Anolis sagrei: one gene and its partner. The protein of the gene in region 2 interacts with the protein of the main gene of each other region in a biochemical or structural test. Links are inferred from orthologs where the notes say so. Each region holds a gene or a part of one and is shown on either strand. Other genes may lie near its edges.

The links.
Region 1: the proteins of RUFY1 (region 2) and RAB4A form a complex in vitro, tested with the Homo sapiens proteins (2 studies listed by BioGRID). The link is inferred for Anolis sagrei from reciprocal best matches to the Homo sapiens genes RUFY1 and RAB4A.

Annotation. Positions count from the first base shown.
Region 1 is NC_090021.1:61,132,918-61,143,768, reverse strand, and holds the start of RAB4A (ras-related protein Rab-4A), read right to left. Parts: upstream 4,813-10,851; 5' UTR 4,608-4,812; coding exon 4,577-4,607; intron 1-4,576. UniProt on the Homo sapiens protein: The small GTPases Rab are key regulators of intracellular membrane trafficking, from the formation of transport vesicles to their fusion with membranes.
Region 2 is NC_090022.1:86,946,510-86,957,192, reverse strand, and holds the start of RUFY1 (RUN and FYVE domain-containing protein 1), read left to right. Parts: upstream 1-5,983; 5' UTR 5,984-6,024; coding exon 6,025-6,283; intron 6,284-10,683. UniProt on the Homo sapiens protein: Activating adapter involved in cargo sorting from early/recycling endosomes. Regulates retrieval of proteins from endosomes to the trans-Golgi network through interaction with the dynein-dynactin complex.

The DNA of each region.
Region 1 (10,851 bases), on a different chromosome or scaffold from region 2:
TGTCAAGCCGCTTTGAGTCCCCTTTGGGGAGATAAAGTGGGGTATAAATAAATATAATAACAATAACAATAATAATAAATGTAAGGAATAGAAGAATAATGTGCTGTGGTAGATCTAACTGCACATAGAATTTGCTATTTGGTACCCTCGTCCCCCCACACCAGAGGTTGCAATCTTTTGGATATGACAATTTTTCACTCCATAAGTAGTAAAATCCTTCAATTCCAAAACTTCTCAATTTTAATAGCAATTTGTTTTTTGGTTACAAGAACTAGATGTACTAAAATTAATACAGAAGGCCAGACTGTGTTATAAAAATCTATTTTCCTTGAAGAATTACATACTGAACCTAAAATATTCCTAAGGATATAGCATGTCTATTCTGCTGCAGCCATATGACTGAGATACTATCCCCCTACCAAGGGAAGTACATATAGTTTACAAACCTGTCAATTATTCATGTCTGAAAGTTGCTGAAATAATGGACATGTTTGTAAACAAGACTATCTTATTTGAGTGCAGGGCAATTATATCAGTCTCCTTGCATATTCTGCCAACACAGAACTTTACAAAATAGAAAAATATCATGTGTTACAATGTGCCACAAATTCACATGAATTTTACAGTGGCTTCAAAGTAGTCCTTATGTTCAAAATCACTGTGGGAAAAGTGATTTATATATTTTACTGTTTGGATAGTGAAGCGAAAGGAATTCTTACGCCTGTTATTTCTTCAGCTGTTTAAATGATTCAACTTTGCTCCCAGCTTCTTTTTTACAGAAGAAAACAAACAAAAACAAAGCTTTGAAAGGCACTTCATTATAAGATGTATTCTCTTTCTTCCCTACCAACAAAGAACCCTTGAGCTGCAAGATTCTGTTGAGCTGTCTGGTTTCTCACCCTAGAGAAGCTAGTTGTTACTAGGAATAACTAAAAAAGGAAAACGCAGCTCAGACCACCAAACAGAACTATTATCACAGCCAGTCTGGAAACATTAGGAAACTTGTCTGGAAGACGGAACCTAGCAACACAGAGATGAATGTTATAAGATGCCTGTTGTAAAACTTTACTATAAAATGATGCTAGTAATGCAATAATTTAGCATTAACATTAATTCACTAAATAATGTTACTTCACTAGTGGGTTCTCCCTCCAAAAAACAGACGAAATAGAATTAATAAAAAAACAACTGTCTGTTGTCTACAATGGGGTTGCTGTCAGTTTTCTACAATGAGTATGAAATAGAGGGGATTATAAAATTAAACTATTTAAACAGTAATAAGGGGATCTCTATTCCTTTGACTGTACAGCATACAGGCACTTTTTTAGTTCTTCAGACCCAATTTATGCAAAACAGTTAACTTGGTTTAGAAATAATAAGTGGAAAGATTTTCTAAACCATTTAACAGATGCAAAGTATCATTGTTTTTAGCAAGAGATTCCTGAAAAAGTGAAAGTTGATAATGCTGTGTACCAAGAAGAAAATTAGAACTATTAACAATTTGGTAATGTAAATAGTTAGAAATATAAAGATACTGGGCACTTCCAGTAATATTAACCCTTTGAAGAAACACTACTTATACACATCCAACATTTTTCATTAAATATTATCTTTTTAAACTCTGAAACAAGCAGATAGTAACACTTGTTTCTCAAAATGCCCACACCTCCAAGCCCACAAAGAGGAAATTCCCATCTCAAGTATAGCTTCCCACAAAGAAGAGCCAGTTACCTTTTTAACAGCTGCAACCATTCGCCTCTACACTCTCTGACATTATGGATCACTTGCTAGTCTGATATAGATTGTAGTAGCAGCACTATCACTATACTATACATATGTGGTATAACATATGTGGTGCCTTGGACTGTAAGAAGATCAAACCAGTCCATACTCCAGGAAATAATGCCCAACTGCTCACTGGAGGGAAGAATATTAGAGGCAAAGATGAAGTACTCTGGCCACATAATGAAAAGTCAGGAAAGCTTGGGGAAGATGCTAAAGAAAATGGAAGGAAAAAGGAAGATCAAGGGCAAGATGGATGGATGTTATCCTTGTAGTGACTGGCTTGACCTTGAAGAAACTGGGGGTGGCAACGGCTGACAGGGAGCTGGGCTGGTCTACGAGGTCATGAAGAATCAGAAGTGACTGAATGAATAAACAACTACTAAGCTCCCTTCCCTCATATTTGTTTTGAAAGTATTCTTGAACCAGAAAACAAGGATGAGAAATACTGAGATTTATTATGGGTCTGGCCCACCATGTATGGATGATATAAAAACTTCTGAAATAATATGTATTATGCAGTCCTTTAAGGATCTACATAAACTAAAGGCACGTTGTCCTGTGAGATCTTCGAAGCTAAGTAGGGAAAGAGAAAGACCACATTACTGATAAGCTTGATTTAATGAAGGATGCCATAGGACCCAACTAATCTAAAAGCACTAGTCTATCTGATCTTGGAAGCTAAGCAGGATCAGCTTGGATAGTACTTGGATGGGAGACTGGCATCAAAACTCTGGCACTGTTATCTGTTATTTCAGAAAAAGGGACTGGCAAAACCACTTCTGAGCACTCCTTGCCCCAAAGAAAGCCCTATGAATTTGATGGGTTCACCGTAAGTTAGCAGGTGAACTGAATGTATACACAGATACACAAGCCCTTAAGGCAGGGGTCCTCAAACTAAGGCCAGGGGGCCAGATACGGCCCTCCAAGGTCATCTACCCGGCCCTCGCTCAGGGTCAACCTAAATCTGAAACGACTTGAAAGCACACAATAACAACAATAACAATACTATCTCATTAGGCAAAAGCAGGCCCACACTTCCCATTAAAGTACTAATAGGTTTATATTTGTTAAAATTGTTCTTAATTTTAATTATTGTATTGTTTTAAGTGAGGTTTTTTTTTTTTTGCACTACAAATAAGATATGTGCAGTGTGCATAGGAATTCATGTTGGGTTTTTTTTCAAATCATAATCCGGCCCTCCAATAGTGTGAGGAACTGTGACCTGGCCCTCTGTTAAAAAAGTTTGAGGACCCCTGCCTTAAGGGCTCTGTGCTTCACAGGAAAAGCAATTCTCATGTACTCCTTCTTCAAGCAACAACCCAATGCACATCACTCCTACTTGCTCTTTTCCCACTCCTGGTCCAGTAGGGGGAAAAAAGCAGCCCTTAAAAAAGAGCACAGAAATAAAGATATGGAAAAGAACAGGGAGCAATATGCAAGGTCCTCTTAGGAGGAAGCAATCTTGCACGACACATCATGCACCCTCTTTTTTGTTGAGAATGTGGATTTGCAGTAAAATAAAACAAAATCAACAAAAGTGCAATACTCTTATTGGCCAACCATAACACACAAAATACCTCATGCAGACTTTTAGTGGCTCCATTGGCAAGATTGTTTATAAAGTATTGAAAAGTGATGGTGTTTCAGGCATGGGCAAACTTCAGCCCTCCAGATGTTTTGGACTCCCAACTCCTACTGGTTGTTAGGAATTGTGTGAGTTGAAGTCCAAAACACCTGGAGGGCCAATGTTTTCCCATGCCTGGTATTGAATCATGGGCCTCATCACTGTCATGAAACTTCCAGATTACCTGCTTTGAACTGGATTATATAGTGGAGCCTTGGTGGAGCAATGGGTTAAACTGCGAGATGGGATGGGTTCCTGCCTGTCAGCTCCAGCTTCCCATGTGGGGACATGAGAGAAGCCTCCCACAGGATAATAACACATCCAGGCATCCTCTGGGCACCAGAAGTGACTTGTGGTTTCTCAGGTCGCTTCTGACATGATTTTAAAAAACTGGATTATATCAGTCTACACTGCCATATGATCCAGTTTTTTAAAATCATGTCAGAAGCGACCTGAGAAACCGCAAGTCGCTTCTGGTGCCCTGAGGATGCCTGGATGTGTTATTATCCTGTGGGAGGCTTCTCTCATGTCCCCACATGGGAAGCTGGAGCTGACAGGTGGGAACTCATAATCTGGATTACATAAAGAATCATTTAATTGGATGAGATCTCATGGATCATCCAGTCCAACCCCTTGCCAAGAAGTAGGAAAATTGCATTCAAAGCATTCCCGACAGATGGCCATCCAGCCTTTGCTTAAAAGCCTCAAAAGGAGGAGCCTCCACCACAGTGTTGATGGGCCCACGGGCCTGCATTTTGTACCAGATGATGTTCAGTTGGGTTGGAGCAGGCCTGGGCAAACGTGGGCCCTCCGGGTGTTTTGGACTTCAACTCCCACCATTCCTAACAGCCTCAGGCCCTCTCCTTTCCCCCCTCAGCCAACGAAGCCGTTTGGTGCGTTTTAGGTCACCATGAAGGGCCTCGCTCTGTTGTGGCTTTCATGCTGTTTTGCGTGAGGGCGAAAGATGTGTCATGGCCTTTGTAAGGTAAAGGTACCTATTCCCACCACAGGTCCAGGGATGTGGGAAAGGTTGGTCACTATTGGCGAAGAGAGAAAGGACTGGGCTCCTGGGCCACTGAGAGGGATAGACATTCATTCGCCAGCCCTGCTTCCCTCCCTCAGAAGAGGCCAAGGCCAGCCCCTCCTCTCCTCTCTCCCCTTCCCTACCGTAAGTCTCGGACATGGCTGTCTGCGACATCTTGGGCGCGAGGAGGAGGCCGCTGGGGTTCGCAGGGCCTTCGGGCGCCTCAGCCGCGGCCCCAGGGCACCCCGAGAAGCCTCCCGCTCCGAGCGCGAGGGGAGGGAGGGAGGGAGGGAGAGAGGGAGGGAGCTTGGCAAGGAGGAGCCCAAGAGCGCCTCCAGCAGCAGCGCGTGAAGGGGCCGCTCTACGCCTGCGCACGGAGCTCCTCGCGCTTGGCCCCGCCCCAGGCCTCCCTTGGTGCGCAGGCGCGCCGGGCCGCCAACGGCTCTTTCTCCCTCTCACCAAAACAAAACGCACGTGCGCGCCGGTTTTGAAACCCGAAGTGCGTTCCTCCTCCTGCCCCCGCCCCCCCTGCTGGAAAGGGGCGGGGCTGCGGGGAGGGAGTGGGCCCCGCACCACGTGACCGCTCGTGCCCCCGCTGCAGTGGAAGCAGAGTTGGAAGAAACCATAGAAGCTGCAAGTCGCGTCTAGTATGAGAGAATTGGCTGTCTGCAAGGATGTTGCCCAGGGGATGTACGGATGTTTAGATGATTTACCATCTTTGTGGGAGGCTTCTCTCATGTCCCCACATGGGGAGCTGGAGCTGACAGAGGGAGCTTATCCGTGCTCTTCCCTGAATTCAAACCTCCAACCTGTCGGTCTTCAGTCCTGCCAGCACAAGGGTTTAACCCATTGCACAACCCTAGCCATGTCAGTTAAAGTGGTGTGACGTTAGACTATAGATGCGTCTGAGGAGGCAAACGATTAGATGCCCTTGGGAAACTAGAAATCCCACATTATCATTGTAGTGGCTCAATGGGTTAAACCCTTGGGTTGGCAGGACTGATGACCAATAGGTCAGAGGTTCAAATCCAGGGAGAGCAGGTAGAGCTCCATCTGTCAGTTCCAGCTCCTCATGTGGGGACATGAGAGAAGCTTTTCACAAGGATGGTAAACATCAAACATCTGGGTGTCCCCTGGATAACGTCCTTGCAGATGGCCAATTCTCTCACACCAGAAGCGACTTGCAGTTTCTCAAATCATTCCTGACATTAAAAAAATACGTGAAGATGTCACAGGTTGTAGATCAAAATTATTGGGACATCTCCAAACATTGCGGAGCACCCAGCATAGCCAATATAGGAATGCTGAGGGCTGCGGTCCCAACTGCTTCTGAAGGCTGCACTGATTCTTTTAAAATGCAGCACATCCTCTTTTCGTCCTTTGTTTCCTGTATCTGTTCATCCTCTTTGTATTTTTATATTATTGATTGCCATGTCTTCTGCTTTCACCCTAAGCAACCACAGCACAGCTGGCAACAGAAGCAAGTCCTACACATATATTAATATTTACATAGACCTTTGTATGGAAATTGCTGCCAAAGGCAAGGACTACTTCAAGATATTTACAAATACTGAACACCTGGGGTGAAAATTGCAAATGGTTAGGAGTAATACCTAATATAGCACATTTTTTTACAATGTTATTCGCAGTTTAATTAAATATTTAATATTTTTGCCGTATTGATGTCAAGCCAAGACATCCCTCACCTCAGCAAAAGTCTTCATTTGGACCATGGCAGGAGATTCAAACATCACCAACTGAACCCCTGAGTCCCGATGGCTTGCTGGAGGAAGACTTGCAACAGCTGCCAGCTCCAGAGGATTCACTGCCTTCATACTCGAAAAACCCAGGCAATAGGCAATAAAGGATTGCTTATGTGTGTTTGTTGTAATATTTTGTGTTTTATAATTTCATAAAATACCTTTGGATCCATGAAGCCACCACCATGACATTGGTGACCTTTCACTGGCACGCCTTGACCTGGGATTCCCCTTGTGTCTCCCTGGTCTCCACCTCAACAAAGGACTCAAGCACCCATCATCTTCTGAATCAATCCATCTCTATTGATTCCAGACTTCACAAAGGATGACCGGACCCTGAATTGGGCTAACCTTTTGTGTGGCCATAAGGACTTGCGATCACCTGGCACCCTTCCTGAAATTTGGAAGGTTGCTGTAAGTTTTTTGGGCTATATGGCCATGTTCCAGAAGCATTCTCTCCTGATGTTTCGACAACACATTTGGAAGGTTCTGCCACTGTTTTTCCTGAATGCCATTTCCCCGTAATGGATTCTTTAATCCCATCATTCGGGACAGCATATTTGTAAGGTCAGAAATGGGCATGGGCACCAGACCCACCTGATGGGTTATTCACTGGGTAATCACAAAGACAATAATCCTCAGGGAACAGATAGCCCTGCCTTGTTAGTCCCCAAGTTGAGACACTAACCCATTCATAAAATTATATTCTCCACATTTTTCAAAATCCATTTATCATAGGGACAGAAAGTGAGGTGAAATCTTCTGAACAGGGGCACAGACAGTAAAAATCAACCCCAAAATCTGGGTCACATCCACAGGGCAATGTAATTATTGTATATCTTACTTGACTCTTATTAAAATACTAGTCCTTTCTGAGTAGAGGGGCAAAAGGCAAGAGCGTGGCCCATTCTGGAGGAACCTAAAACAAGCACTAACCCCTTTAATCTTCTGGGCCTTTTGAATGCCAGAGTTGTAAAATGTTAGCCAAGGTGGCACTTTCCTCATTTCACAGAATGACCCACGACTTATTCACTAGTCATCTCAAAATCTATAATTTTGGCCCCGAAATCTGTCCACAGCTTATACATGTATTCAACTTATACTTCAGCATACATGGTACTCCCTTCTTACCAATTCCAACTAGTTCTTTGCTTCCTAACAAATATTACTTCCAGACCATATTCTGGGCACAGATATAGCTATAGGCATTGTCAGTGTCTACCAAAAAGCCATGACTTTTTGTATGGAGTCGAGCATAAAATAAAAATTGCAACTGTAAGAGGAGTATGAAAATATTAAATGTGGGGCAGCACAAGAAAATAGTTCAGTAGGACAGAGAATTCAAAGAGCGACTGCAGGAGAGAGCTGTTGCCATTGTGTCCTACTTGTAGACTGCATTAGCTGTTGCAGATAAAGATGTTTAAGAGCTTCCTGGTTTAACCTAGTGCTGTATAGAGCACTGCTTCTTAAACTGTCAGTCCAACCCCAAATGGGGTCCCCATGATTCATTGTTGTCAAAAGGGAAAGGTTTCTGAATGCCACACTTTTGCACCAATCTTAACAAAACCATGCAGTGTTTGTAGTGGACTTTGAAGCAAATGCTTCAGCTGTATGTCACAAAAAGAAAAATCGGCCTGTTTAGCAAGCCTTGAAAATTCTGATTTATTATCATCAGTGTTTGATTTTATACCTATCTTATATATACCTATATTCCTGGAGCATATAAAATAATTTGGGTGGAAAGAGGTCACGAGAAGCAAAACTTTAAGAAGTCCTGGCATGGAGCACCACCACTATACTTTTATTTTGGTGAAATTCAAACAACTAAATGGATAGGCTAAAACATTTTTTTTTGGCAGAGATTATTCCACAGCAAAGTGCTACTATCTGTGTTCCATATTTCTTCAAGAAATACCTCTGATCTGAGAGCTGACCTTTTTCTAGTATGAAATCATATGGAGGATATAGAATTGTTTCTTCTTGTGTATTACAATTACAGTAGAGTCTCTGTTATCCAACCTTCTTTCATCCAACATTCTGTATCATCCAACGTAGTCTCCCTCCTGCCTGGGTCCGCAGCTGTTTCAATACATTGAGATGTTTTAATGCTAAATTTGTAAATACAGTAATTACTACATAATGTTACCGTGTATTGAACTGTTTTCTCTGTCTGTTTGTTGTAAGACATGATGTTTTGGTGTTTAATTTGTAAAATCATAACGCAATTTGACATTTAATAGGTTTTTCCTTAATCTCTCCTTATTATCCAACATTTTCTCTTATCCAACTTTCTGCCAGTCCGTTTATGTTGGATAAGCGAGACTCTACTGTACCACAATCACATAGATAACTCTATTCACAAATAGGTTATTTACAAATGTATTCATTTCATACATGCCTTGCCTTGGAAGTAAAAAGTACATCAAAGACACCTTGACAATACAGCTAACAATAAGTATTGATTAAAATCATAACATTAAAATAGAACATTGAAAGACATAGCCAGTACCTATTCCATTGAACTCCTTCAACAGCAAACTAGTTTATATGCCAAAGGCATGCTTGAATAAAAAGTCAGTCTCTTGTTTGCAGAAGGAAATTCATTTTCTATCAGCAAGTTCCAGAAATTGGGAGCAGCCGCCAAGAAAGCCTGCTCTTATGTCCTCTTATTCTTGCCATAGTAAGTCTTAAGACATAGTCTGCTCTGTAAGGGGTTGCTCTCTCTCTGAAAGATTTATTTGTTTATCGTGTCATCAGCAACCATACCATTGTATTACAATTCTAACAGAACAAAACAAACACACAGATTAAAAAAAACAAAAAAACACACACACACAGATTTTGCAAACTTGGTAGTTGGTTAAATGTTCTTTGGCCAGTATCTGGCCACTTGGAGTGCCTCTGGTGTTGCTGCAAGAAGGTCCTCCATTGTGCATGTGGCAGGGCTCAGGGTGCATTGCAGCAGGTGGTCTGTGGCTTGTTCTTCTCCGCACTCGCATGCCGTGGATTCCACCCTGTAGCCCCATTTCTTAAGATTGGTTCTGCATCTCGTGGTGCCAGAGCGCAGTCTGTTCAGCGCCTTCCAAGTCGCCCAGTCTTCTGTGTGCCCAGGGGGACATGAGAGAAGCCTCCTCGCAGGATTGCAAGACATCCGGGCGTCCCCTGGGCAATGTCTTCGTAGACGGCTGATTCTCTCGATCCAGAAGCAACCAGAGACGACTTGCAGCATGCCTCTGAAAGATCAGGTCCATAGTTTGGAGGTGCATTTTTGAGCCAGATTCAAGTTGCATTATATGGTCTCTGTAGATGTATCTTTAGGCTGTAGATCACAACCATGTACCATTTTACAAAGACCTTAGACACTGATGCTATAAACTAATAAGTATTTTTTGAATTTGTAGCTGTGTATGTTTTTAGCTTATTGTAAAATGCTTTGAGTCCCAAAGTTAAAAAAAAAGAATAATTATTTAAGAGTACAGATTGTAATCATGTATTCTTTTACACAAATCTTAGAAACTGATGCTATAAATCAGTGGTTCCCAGTCTTATGTCCTCCAGGTGTTTTGGATTTCAGCTCACAGAAATCCTAGCCAGTTTATCAGCTGTTAGGAGTTATGGGAGCTGAAGTCCAAAATATCTGGAAGACTAAAGGTTGGAAACCATTACTATAAATTAATTACTATTCCCCCCACTTTCTGATTCCCACTGTTAGCAGTAGGGAAACAGAAGTCTCTGTTGTTTGAGAGGTGAAAACCTCCTCCACTGCTTAGTGATTCCCCACTGAGATGCTATTATTAGTGTTGAGATTCTTGCAGGTTATGGTGGAGTGGGAATGGTGAAAATCTCTCCCACTTCTCTAAGGTATAATCTGAGTCTCCTGTCCTGATGCTGCTCATGGCATTGCCAGAGGAGTTGTCTTTTGTCTGGAGTTCAATTCATTCTGGCTGAATTACATTTGGGAGAGGGATTAGTCCTTACTTTGTGGTCCATATTTCATCCCACAACTGCTGCTTGTCCACATGTGGATCAGAAAATTAAAAGTTTAGGTCCTTGGAGGACTGTATGACAATCTTGACCTCTTTCCACTTTTGTGAAATATTCTAGAATTTGTAGATCACCCCCTTCTCTTTGGTTCAGTTGAATCCATCTGCCCTTGAATGTTATCTATATTTTTTCCTGTTCACAAGACCTTCAGGCTTTGTTCACATGTTTTCATATGTCCAGTAAACAGTTTAGGGATTTCTTGTTCAGAAATTTCTTAAGTATGATGGGAAAATATGCATAGGCTAAAGTAAAAAAACAGATTGTACAATGTGATACTATATAGTTATGTTTTTATTATTATTTTATATACATCATGAGAAAGACTTCTAGAACACAGGGTGAAATGCACTGGACTTTTCTACCCATAAACGACTATCTTTGGACTATCCCTAGACATCCCTCTTGCTCTTATTGTGGATTTCATTGGATGCTGCCCAGTTTTTGCTTTGGTTGTTGTCAATACGTGCCTTTGAAAGCGACAATTCTGCTACTCCTGCCTCAGTTGGAAAATTAACTTTGCAAGCCCAGCAATGATAGAACAACATTAATCAATATGTTCACAATGTGAGGTTGGCCTTGACATTTTCAGAAGGCAAAACACATCCAAACATAAT
Region 2 (10,683 bases):
TTGATGACACACGGTCGCATGCAGCCGCATACAGAGAAGATGGGGCCGCATCCCAAGAAGGACATTTCATCCTCAGCTCCTACACCAGCATTTTTCTATAATGCCAAGATATATGGCATTATAGAAAAAGCAGGTAAGTTAAATAATTAGTTTTTGGTTAATTAAATACAGTTATATATTACAATAATATATTTTTGTTATTAAACTATAAATATCATGAAATTATGGGGGGTTTTTTCTCGAAGTGACACCCCACCTGAGTTATGCTCGTTTTTTTGGCAAGTATTGACACACCAAGCTCAAAAGGTTGCCCATCATTGATCTAGACACTGCAGGGGCTGTTCTTTTTGTTCCTGTAATATTTATTGCAAGGGAAGAAAAAGCCTGAATAAAGAGGGGTTTTTTAAAATCTACTTTATGTGAGATATAATGGGGTGGGTAGGAATTACCCACTGGAATCAGTTGGGCTTTGGCTTTTGGGTTTTTAGAGCAGCCACACAGCAATGCCACCCTTCCATGTGGTTGGTCCTTAAAGATGTCCAGTCACAATCAGGGAAATGCAACAGTGACACCTACTGGAAGCTCTCTGCTCCGTCTGTTCCTCAGCTAACAATGAGAGCACATTACAGAAAAGTGCTGGTTGAACAAAATGCTTGGAACAAGAATGGTTTTGGATTTCAGATTTTTTATTATTTTACCTATACATAATGAGAGATCTTTTAGTGCGATGCAGTAGCTAAAAAAACAATTCTAGCCTGTATCAATAGGAATTTAGTGACTAGATCAGGGAAAGTAATTGCCCCACTCTTTTCTACTTTGGTCAGACCTGACCTGGAATACCGTGTTCAGTTCTGGACACCACAATTCAAGAGGGATACTGAAAAGCAGGGAAAGGCAGCCAAAATAATCAATGGTTTGGAAGCCAGACGCTGAGAAGAGCTAGGTATGATTAGCTTGGAGAAAAGAAGACTGAAAAGGGACCTGATTGCCATGTTTAAATATTTGAAAAGGTGTCATATTGAGGAGGGGGTGAGCCTGTTTTCTGCTGCTCTATAGACTAGGCCACGGAGCAGTAGATTCAAATTTCAAGAAATGGGATTCTACCAAAACCTCAGGAAAAATGTCCTGACAGTCAGATCTATTCAGCAGTAAAATATGCTGCCTGGGAGTGTGGCGGAGTCTTCTTCTCTGGAGGTTTTCAAGGAGAGGCTGGATGGCCATCTGTTGGGGATGCTTTGGTTGTGTATTCCTGCATGGCAGAATGAGGTTGGACTGGATGAACCTTGTGGTCTCTTCCAACTCTATGATTCTTTGGCATTTCTATAGTGTTTTGGACCAAAATCTAAACACAAAATTCATTTATGTTTCATATTTACCATATACACACATCCCAATAGTAATTTTATATAATAATAATAATAATAATAATAATAATAATAAATTAATGTATTTATTTATTTAATTATTTATATCCCACCACCATCTCCCCAAAGGGACTCAGGGCAACTTGCAAAACACTCCAGGGCACATATAACGTACAACCGGTAAAAATGGTACAAAAGTATAAAACAAGTCACATAAAATTATAACAACAATCCCCAGTCAACATATGTTAGTATAAAATCAAAACAATACAATTTTAAAACAACAGTAGATAAAACCAACTGCCGTCAATTCACATGTGTTTCATATGGACCCATTCAGCCTACTCATGTTGGAATGGAAAAAATGAAGGGTGGGGGCTAATCTAATCTCATTTGGGAGGGTATTCCACAGCCAGGGGGCTACCACAGAGAAAGCCCTCTCTCTCGTCCCCACCAACCGCACTTGAGGCAGTGGTGGGACCGAGAGGAGGGCCTTCCCTGTCAATCTCATATGTAGTATGCTTAATAATATAATGCATGAAACCAATATTGTGTGTGCCATGGACCACCAGAAAGCACAGGTGTCCCTATCCCAGACACCCTTATGGACAACTTTGGATTTTATAATAATAATAATAATAATAATAATAATAATAATAATACACTTTATTTATATTTCGCCCTTCTCCCCTAAGGAACTCAGAGCAGATTACAGCATTTACATACATAGCCAAACAAACATATAAAGTTCACTGACCAGTAATAATAATGAGAAAAGGAAGAGTCACAGCTACCTTCAACATCAGAAAGCTAAAAGGACAATTAGAGGAGGCAACACTGTTACACTTAAATTGCACCAGTAGTGCAAAAGGTAGCATATTATCTTTCCGTGTAGGGGGAAAGCACTTTTTGCATGGGACAAGTGTCTTCTATGATAAACACCTTGGAAAAGTGAACTGGGAACTGGTGCTATAATTCTCAAAATCCCCCATGTCGTATGACCACTGGGACTTATAGGTATAGTTCCCAAAAGGTAACATTTCCAACTCTAGTTGTGCGAAAAGGGGGCAGGGATGTTCCTCATCCTAGTCACTATGAACTCAATACATCTCTTCCAAATGATGTTCCGACCCATTTGCATTTCAAACTACATTAATTAAACATTATATCATAAAGCACTCATTGAAAAAGATCAAGCTATCCCAGAGGAAGGTTTTTAAAATTAATTTCAAAAGGTTTGTTTCATATGAATTGTAGAAATCTTTATGAAGTAATAAATTCCTTGTTCTTTGAATGGTTGAGAAAGGAGCTCTGCACAGGCATAATCTTTTCCCTTCTAACCAGAGATTCAGAATCTTTCGCTTCAGCTCTTCAAAATCTCATATCCCTTCTCCTTAATTTGAGGATATTTTTATCCTGATTTTTATTAAGTCCAGAAGAAGCAGGTGTGTTTCCAAGTCAGTTATACACCATCTCCTTTTATGGTATTAAATAGCTACCCCAAATGAATTTTAATACTGCATCTGGAAGAGCTTTATAAATATTGAGAAACTTGGTTTCTGGGTAACCAGAACTCAAAGATGACCATTTGACTTTCTGAATCATGATAAGGCTTTCTATAAATGCCAAATGTTCTAGCAAAAATAATGTGCTACTGTCATTTTATTGGAATAAAGAAATAGAACAAATATGTGGGTGGTTGCCTTAATTTTTCAGCTTTCTGGATTTCAAATAAATTAGTACAGAAAACTATAATATGGATGTTGCCTAGAAAACTCAAGCAACTGAAGACTAATAAACTTGATGTCGATAACAAGGAAAGTACTATATTTAGACAAGAAAAAAATGAAATGCACAAATATTGGATAGTGGTATAAGTTAAATGATGGGGCTCCGCTAGAAACTTTTGCTTCAAAGGGGGATCTATAGAAATGCTGGCTGGAGGAATCTGGAAGTTACAGGACAACGTTTTGCCACTATGGCAATTCCACTGCTTGTAATGAGAACAACAGATATTTTCCCCCGTTTCTCAGCTATGTTCAACACTGAAACTCAGTATAATTTCTTGTTTATGCTAGAATGTAAGTCAGGTGAGGGCATCTTATGACCCTAGGGGTTGTTGGATTGTAATTCCCATTATCCTTCCCACTGTCAATGCTAACTAAGAGCCCGTCCACACAGCCCTATACCCCAGAATATCAATGCAGAAAATCCCACAATATATGCTTTGAACCGGGTTATCTGAGTCCACATTGCTATATATTCCAGTTCTAGCAGATAATGTGAGATTTTATTCAGCTGTATGGAAGGGGCCTAAGGCTGATGGGAATAGCAGTCCAGTTACATCTGATCAGCCACAAGCTGCCTTTCCCTGATATAATGAAATTCCTTGATATTAATTGCAGATCTGAATATAAAGCATCAAACTGGAAAAAAATACAGTGCATGCTTCATATTAATTTGGGTTGCCATAGGTTGGGTTGCCAAAGCCCCTTCCACGCAGCTGTATAAAATCCCACATTATCTGCTTTGAACTGGGTTATATGGCAATGTGGACTCAGATAACCGAGTTCAAAGCAGATATTATGGATTATCTGCCTTGGTATTATAGGTTATATGGCCATGTGGAAGGGCCCCAAAAGCGATTCTATAACAATAAAGTCATCCACAGGATCTTTTTCTCCTCTTGTGCCTGAAAATGATGGGATTTCCTTTGCCAAAATTTGTTCGGAGATTTGCTTTTGCCTCTTCTGAGGCTCAGAGAGTGACTTGCCCATGGCCGCCCAGTAGGTTTCGATGGCGGAGCAGCGTTTGAAATCCTGGCCTCCAAAGTCATAACCCAACACAGAAACCATTACAACATGCTGGCTCTCAATCAGATAACTACTTAATTATTGTATTTTTAATCAGATGACTAATTTAATCAGATGACTAATTTTGGTTCTCAACCCGTGGGTCCCCAGAAATCTTAACAGCTGGTAAACTGGCTGAGATTTCTGGGAGTTGTAGGCCAAAACACCTGGGGACCCACAGGTTGAGAACCACTGCCTTAGAGGTTGAGAAACCATGTGAGTGCATAACAACCAAATAGCCAAGACTTTTGTGAATTTCATTTTTTAAATCTAGGTAGTGGAGGTGCCTCCACGCAGGTAGATGATGCCACCACAATGGTATGCAGAATCCTTTCCCACCAATATTTCCACTGCAGACCACATCCATAGGAGAACTTGTGAAAAACACTGCAATGTTAAAATTGCAGAATCATTGCTTGGCCATTAATTGTCCACCCAGGGAGCCAATTTCCACATATTACTGTGAATACCATTTCTTTTTTTTTCTTTCCTTATATGCAAGGCTCTTGAACAAACAAGGTAACTGACTAGATTAACTCACTAGATGGCAGTGAAAGCTCGTGGTTCACAGTTTTTATCCTGCAGTAAGTTTCAGCTCTCTTTTCAGGTACAGGACAAGAGGAGAAAAGGTTAGAATTATCCTGGAAGATGCAAAAGGATTAGAATTAGAATTATATGAAACAGGTCACCATGAGCAGGGTTGTTGTGTGCTTTCCGGGCTGTACGGCCATGTTCCAGGAGCATTCTCTCCTGTCGTTTCACCTGCCTCTATGGCAGGCATTCTCAGAGGTTGTGAGGTCTGTTAGAAACTAGGAAAACTGGGTTTATATATCTGTGGAATGTACAGGGTGGGAGAAAGAACTCTTGTCTGTTGGAGGTAAGTGTGAATGTTTCAATTGGCCACCTTGATTAGCATTTAATGGCCTAGCAGTTTTCAAGGTCTGGCTTCTTACTGACGGGGGGGGGAGGGGGGAGAGATCCTTTGTTGGGAGGTTATTAGTTGGCCCTGATAGTTTTGTGTCTAGAATTCCCGTTTTGAGTGTTGTTCTTTATTTACTGTTATATTTTAGAGCTTTTTAAATACTGGTAGCCAGATTTTGTTCATTTTAATGAATAAAAGGATTCCCCCAGGCAGTAAGAAGCCAGACCTTGAAAACTGATAGGCCATTTTGAGGGTGCCTGCTGCCATGGATGTGGATGAAAAGTGCAATTTATATATCTGTGGAATGTCCATAGTAGGAGAAAGAACTCTTCTCAGCAGTCAGCCAGGCTTTGATGTCACAAGGCCATTAAATGCTAATCAAAGTGGCCTACTGCAGCATTCACACTTGCCTCAAGCAGACAAGAGTTATTTCTCCAATCCTGTACATTCCACAGATATATAAACCCCAATTGCCTAGTTTCCAACAGACTTCACAACCTCTGAGGATGCCTGCCATAGATGCAGGCGAAATGTCAGGAGAGAATGCTTTTGGAACATGGGCAGACAGCCCAGAAAACACACAACAACCCAGTGATTCCGCCCATGAAAACTTTCGACAATTAACCGGTTGTTAGGAATTGTGGAAGTCTAAAACACCTGGAGGGGCCAAGTTTGCCCACTCCTGCTCTATATAGCCTTCTCTGCCTAAGAGAGCTGGGGCCTCCATCCAAAGTACTACAACTCCCAGGATTCCTTAGCATGGAACCAAGGCAGATCACGTGACGTCAGGTTGCATTCCTTCCTTCTTTCATCCACCCTTCAAGAGGCAGAGGCTCCCTCTTGGGACGCGCGTATCACGTGACACCCCCCCCCCCCTCGAGCCAAGATGGCCGAAGGGGAAGGAGCCGCGGAGCCAAGAGGGGGCCCCGAAATCCTCGGCGGGGCCCAGGCGCCCGACACTTCCGAGCTCCCAAGCGACGGCCCGGAGGAGAGTGTGGAAGGCCCGGCCTGGTCGGCGCCCCTCCTCTCTTTGGCCAAGAGGGCCTCGGAAAACTTGGCGGCCGGCTATGGGAGCGCCTTGAAGTCTGCAGCCTTGGTAGGACTCATGCCCAAACCCGTCAGCCCTGACAGCGCCGCCAAACAAAGTACGGCTACTACTTTTCCTGCTTCTCCTTTCTGGGGTGTCATTCAGCCAGCCAGCCAGCCAGTTGTTCCTTACTTTGCACGTCTGGGAGGAAAAGTTTGACTGCGTCTGCACTGCAGAAGTAATGCGGTTTGACCCCACTTCAACTACCCAATGCCGTTGGATCATGGGAGTTGTCGCTTTTCCTGGTTTCCTCGCCAAACTAGAAATCCCAAGGTTTCATAGTACTGTGCCACAGCAGTGACAGTGGGTAAAACTGTTATTTCTACTGTGTGGAACAGGCATGGGCAAACTTCGGCCCTCCAGGTGTTTTGGACTTCAACTCCCACAATTCAGGAATTGTGGGAGTTGAAGTCCAAAACACCTGGAGGGCCGAAGTTTGCCCATACCTAGCGTAGATGCACCCTTTCAGTGCCACTCTATAAAGTCTTTGTCCCATGAAAAGGGGCTCAACAGGTGTCCTTTGATGTTGCATCTACACTGCAGGAGTAATACAGTTTGGCCCAACTTTACCTGACATAGCTCAGTGCTTAAAAAAAACCCAAAAAAACAGGGAGTTGTAGTTTGGTGAGGCGTCAGCACTTTTTGGAAGAGGCGCCTAAAGTCCTTATAAAACTATACATCCCATGTTTACATAGCATTGAGCCATGGCAGCTAAAGTAGTGTCAATCTCTTGTCAATTTATCTGGCACCCTTTGCCAGAGAAGGCTAAAGATGTTGTGAAATGACATGCATTGAGCCATAGCAGTTAAAGTGGTGTCAATCTGCATTCGTTCTACAGTGTAGATGTGTCCTGAGGTGTCGCTTTTGTTATGAGACTTGGAGCAGAAGTAAATAAAGTCTAAGCAATCTTAATGTAAACTAGGCTTCATCATGGAATAATCCAAGCATTTGTTGTTTACTGATATTGGGTTCACCTCCAGACAAAGGGTCTATCTACACTTACCTGTCCGAATTCATTTCCCCTTATGAACCCTCCAGGACAGTGGTTCTCAACCTGTGGGTTCCCAGGTGTTTTGGCCTACAACTCCCAGAAATCCCAGCCAGTTTACCAGCTGTTAAGATTTCTGGGGGTTGAAGGCCAAAACATCAGGGGACCCCGGGTTGAGAACCACTGCTCCAGGACTTTAAGATTGTCTGGAAAGGCCCTGCTCTTGGTCCCGCCTTCATCACAAGCATGGTTGGCAGGAAAGAGAGGCAGGGCCTTCTCAGTGGTGGCACCTCGACTATGGAACGCCCTCCCTAAGGATATCAGATCAGCCCCCTCCCTTTTAACATTTCAAAAGAGAATCAAAACTTGGCTCTTTGAGCAGGCATTTCCAAATACACATAGGAAAATGGAATGGTTGAACAATGTGATTAGACAATGTTTTTAATAGGAGACCCTAATGTTCATGTTTTTATTGATTTTGTTATGGTTTTATTATCCGATTATTTTTATTGTATTGAAATTGTATTTTATGGTCTCGGCACCAACTGTGAACTGCCCCGAGTCGCCTGCAAGCTGAGAGGGACGGTATATAAATATAGTAACTAACTAAATAAATAATACACTCTAGAATGAATGCAGATTGACACCACTTTAACTGCTATGGCTCAATGCTTGTCATTCCACAATGTCTTTAGCCTTCTCTGGCAAAGAGTGCTGCTGCCTCACCAAACTACAAATCCCATGGTTCTACAGCATGGAGCCATGGCAGTTCAAGTGTTGCTGCATTAATTCTAGAATACAGTTGCACCCATGGTTGCTATTATATCTTTCTGAAACATGAATGACTTCTGAGACTAATGTGTATTAATGCAGGAACTATGCCTTGAGCCTTCTCATCCGTTCCACTTCTAGGATCACGTGTCTGGCCTTGGTGATTCTTGGAAGCTCAGCTGCATTGCTTCCTTCGAATCAACAATTCATGAAAAGGAGACATAATTGCTGTAATTCAGCAAACTTAGGAAAACTTTTTGAAGTCCACCTAACTGTAAATGATGCTTGTGCGTGTTAGATTGTGATCTACTGGTTTGCATAAGACTAGAAAAGCTGTCCTAAGAAGGGTGGTCCATGACATTTTAATCTTATGACAGAAAAGGCAGGCTACTCCACCCTAACTTCCATTTCATGCCTGGCAGATTGGCTGTATAATTTTACTGCAGTACTAGTCATGGGGTGGCTGCTCCCATAACACCAGAAAATAACAAACTAGAGTGTGCAGATGGGGGTGGCATGAGCATCCCATCCTCCCAAGAAAGTTCAAAAGTCCAAAAGAAATAGTTATGTGGAGCTACCACTTCTTTCTTCCAGCATTTGCCACAGAGGCAGTTTTCTGACTTTGCCTAAAGTCGGGGCCTTCTCTGTAAAAGCATAACAGGGAAGAAAAAAGGAACAAACAAGTAGTTATGTGACACTTTGAAAACTAACCACCTTATTTCATCATAAACTGTCTTAGATTAAAATCCATCTCTTCCATGCAAGAAAAATTGTGTGATGAAATAAATTGCTTTGTTGTAAATGTATGACAAGACTATTTTTCTTCTTATGGTTTTTAAAAAATTTGCATATAGAATCTTAAGGAATTTTGTACTCAATTTTTCAAAAATATATGAAAACGTTAGATTTACATCTGTGTTTTCACAATGATTGAGTTTTGCACAATAACAGTCAAGTAAATAAAATTATCCTCTTCTTACCCTGGTTTCTTTTAGATTAATGTTCAGTCTGACTTCATTCATCTCCATGTATAATAATCCTGTTTTAATAACTTTATTTTTGTACCCCACCTCCATCTCCCCGAAAAGACATGGGACGGCTTACATATGTCACAAAATGCCTAAAAACAATGCATAAAATAAACATCCAGTACAATACAAAAAAGTAAAACCAACAGCACATAAAAACAAAAATTTAAAATTCAGAACAATACCCAATAACCTATGGTGACAGCTGCCATAAGACGTGGCCAAACTATAAACAAGACAAGGGAATGGGATGAGAGTGCAGTGCCGTGTCATTAATTGTGGACCATTGGGGCTAGACATTCTCAAAGGTTTGTTTAAACATCCAAGTCTTCCAATCCCTATGGACAGGCCCGTAGCCAGGATTTTGATTCAGGGGGAGCTGAGTTTGATTCAGGGGGAGGAGGAGCTGAGTCTGAGTGAAAGAGGGTCTACCCTAGCAAATCTTTTGTATCGTTACCCCAATACCCCCATACATATGGGAACATGGTGATCAGATCATATGAATAAACATAAAAGTTTAAATAATGTACCAGTAAGACCTTCTCGTGGACCACCATGAGTAAGACCTTCTCGTGGACCCCCCCCCCCCGGCTACATGCCTGCCTATGGAAGGAGGACAGTGTTGAGGCCGGCCTTATCTTCCTAGGGAGGGCATTCCAAAGCCGGGGGGCGGGGGGGGGGGGGGGAAGGTGACACTGAGAAGGCTCTGTTTTGCCAACTTCTAGGAAATATAGGTTGGCAAATTACAATACTTGTAAACTTAACTAATGTAACCATTGAATGGGTCCTTCATAGACTCCATAGAGCCAGGTATCTTTTCTTCCAGTTCCATCAGTGCCCAAATTGTGGGGGGAAACTAGATTAGCATTTTATGGTGCATTTACACCATGTAATTAATGAAGTTTGACACCACTTTAACTGCCATCACTCAATGCTATGGAATCATGGGAGATGGTAGTTTTACAAGCTCTTTACTCTCCTCTTCCAAATAGAGTCTCTAATTAAGGTTGCAATTGAAGATCTACTTATCTGGGATTGAATTGCATTGAACTCTATAGAGTTTGCCTTTGGGTAAACAAGGATAATATGGCAATGTAATTCTTAACACCATTGTTCCACAGTGATGAGTTTGCATACACCTGTGGGGTAAGAGGCTATACTGAGGGCAGGAGTGCTGCTAGTAATGTTTCTTTTCCTGAGGAGCCAGACTAAATAGCTACTGGGCAGTAGCAGAAGTGGAAAGTAATCCTGGAAGAGAATCTCTCATTGGCATCATAGCTAACACCTATTAGTAATGCAGGAAAGAGGGCATAATAAATTCATCAACCCTATGATGAGACATTTGAAAATGAAACAAGAGTTAGTGCCAGAAGATGAAATTCCCAGGTTGAGTGGCACTCAACAAGCCCTTGGAAGACAACTATGAGTAGTGCTGTGTCTAATGATGCAACTAGACTCAAGTTGAAAGGACATTCAGCCGTTGACATGCTCTGAGTTGAAAGGAAAGTCTAAAGCTGCACAGCACATGTTATAGGAATACAGAATGAGAAAATGAGGGAAGATAACCACAGTAAAACAAGAAATGGAATGTATAAACATGAACTGTACATGAACTGAACCAGCTAAAGGCAATTTTAGTTTATTTACTGTATTTTAATTCTGTTTTCACCA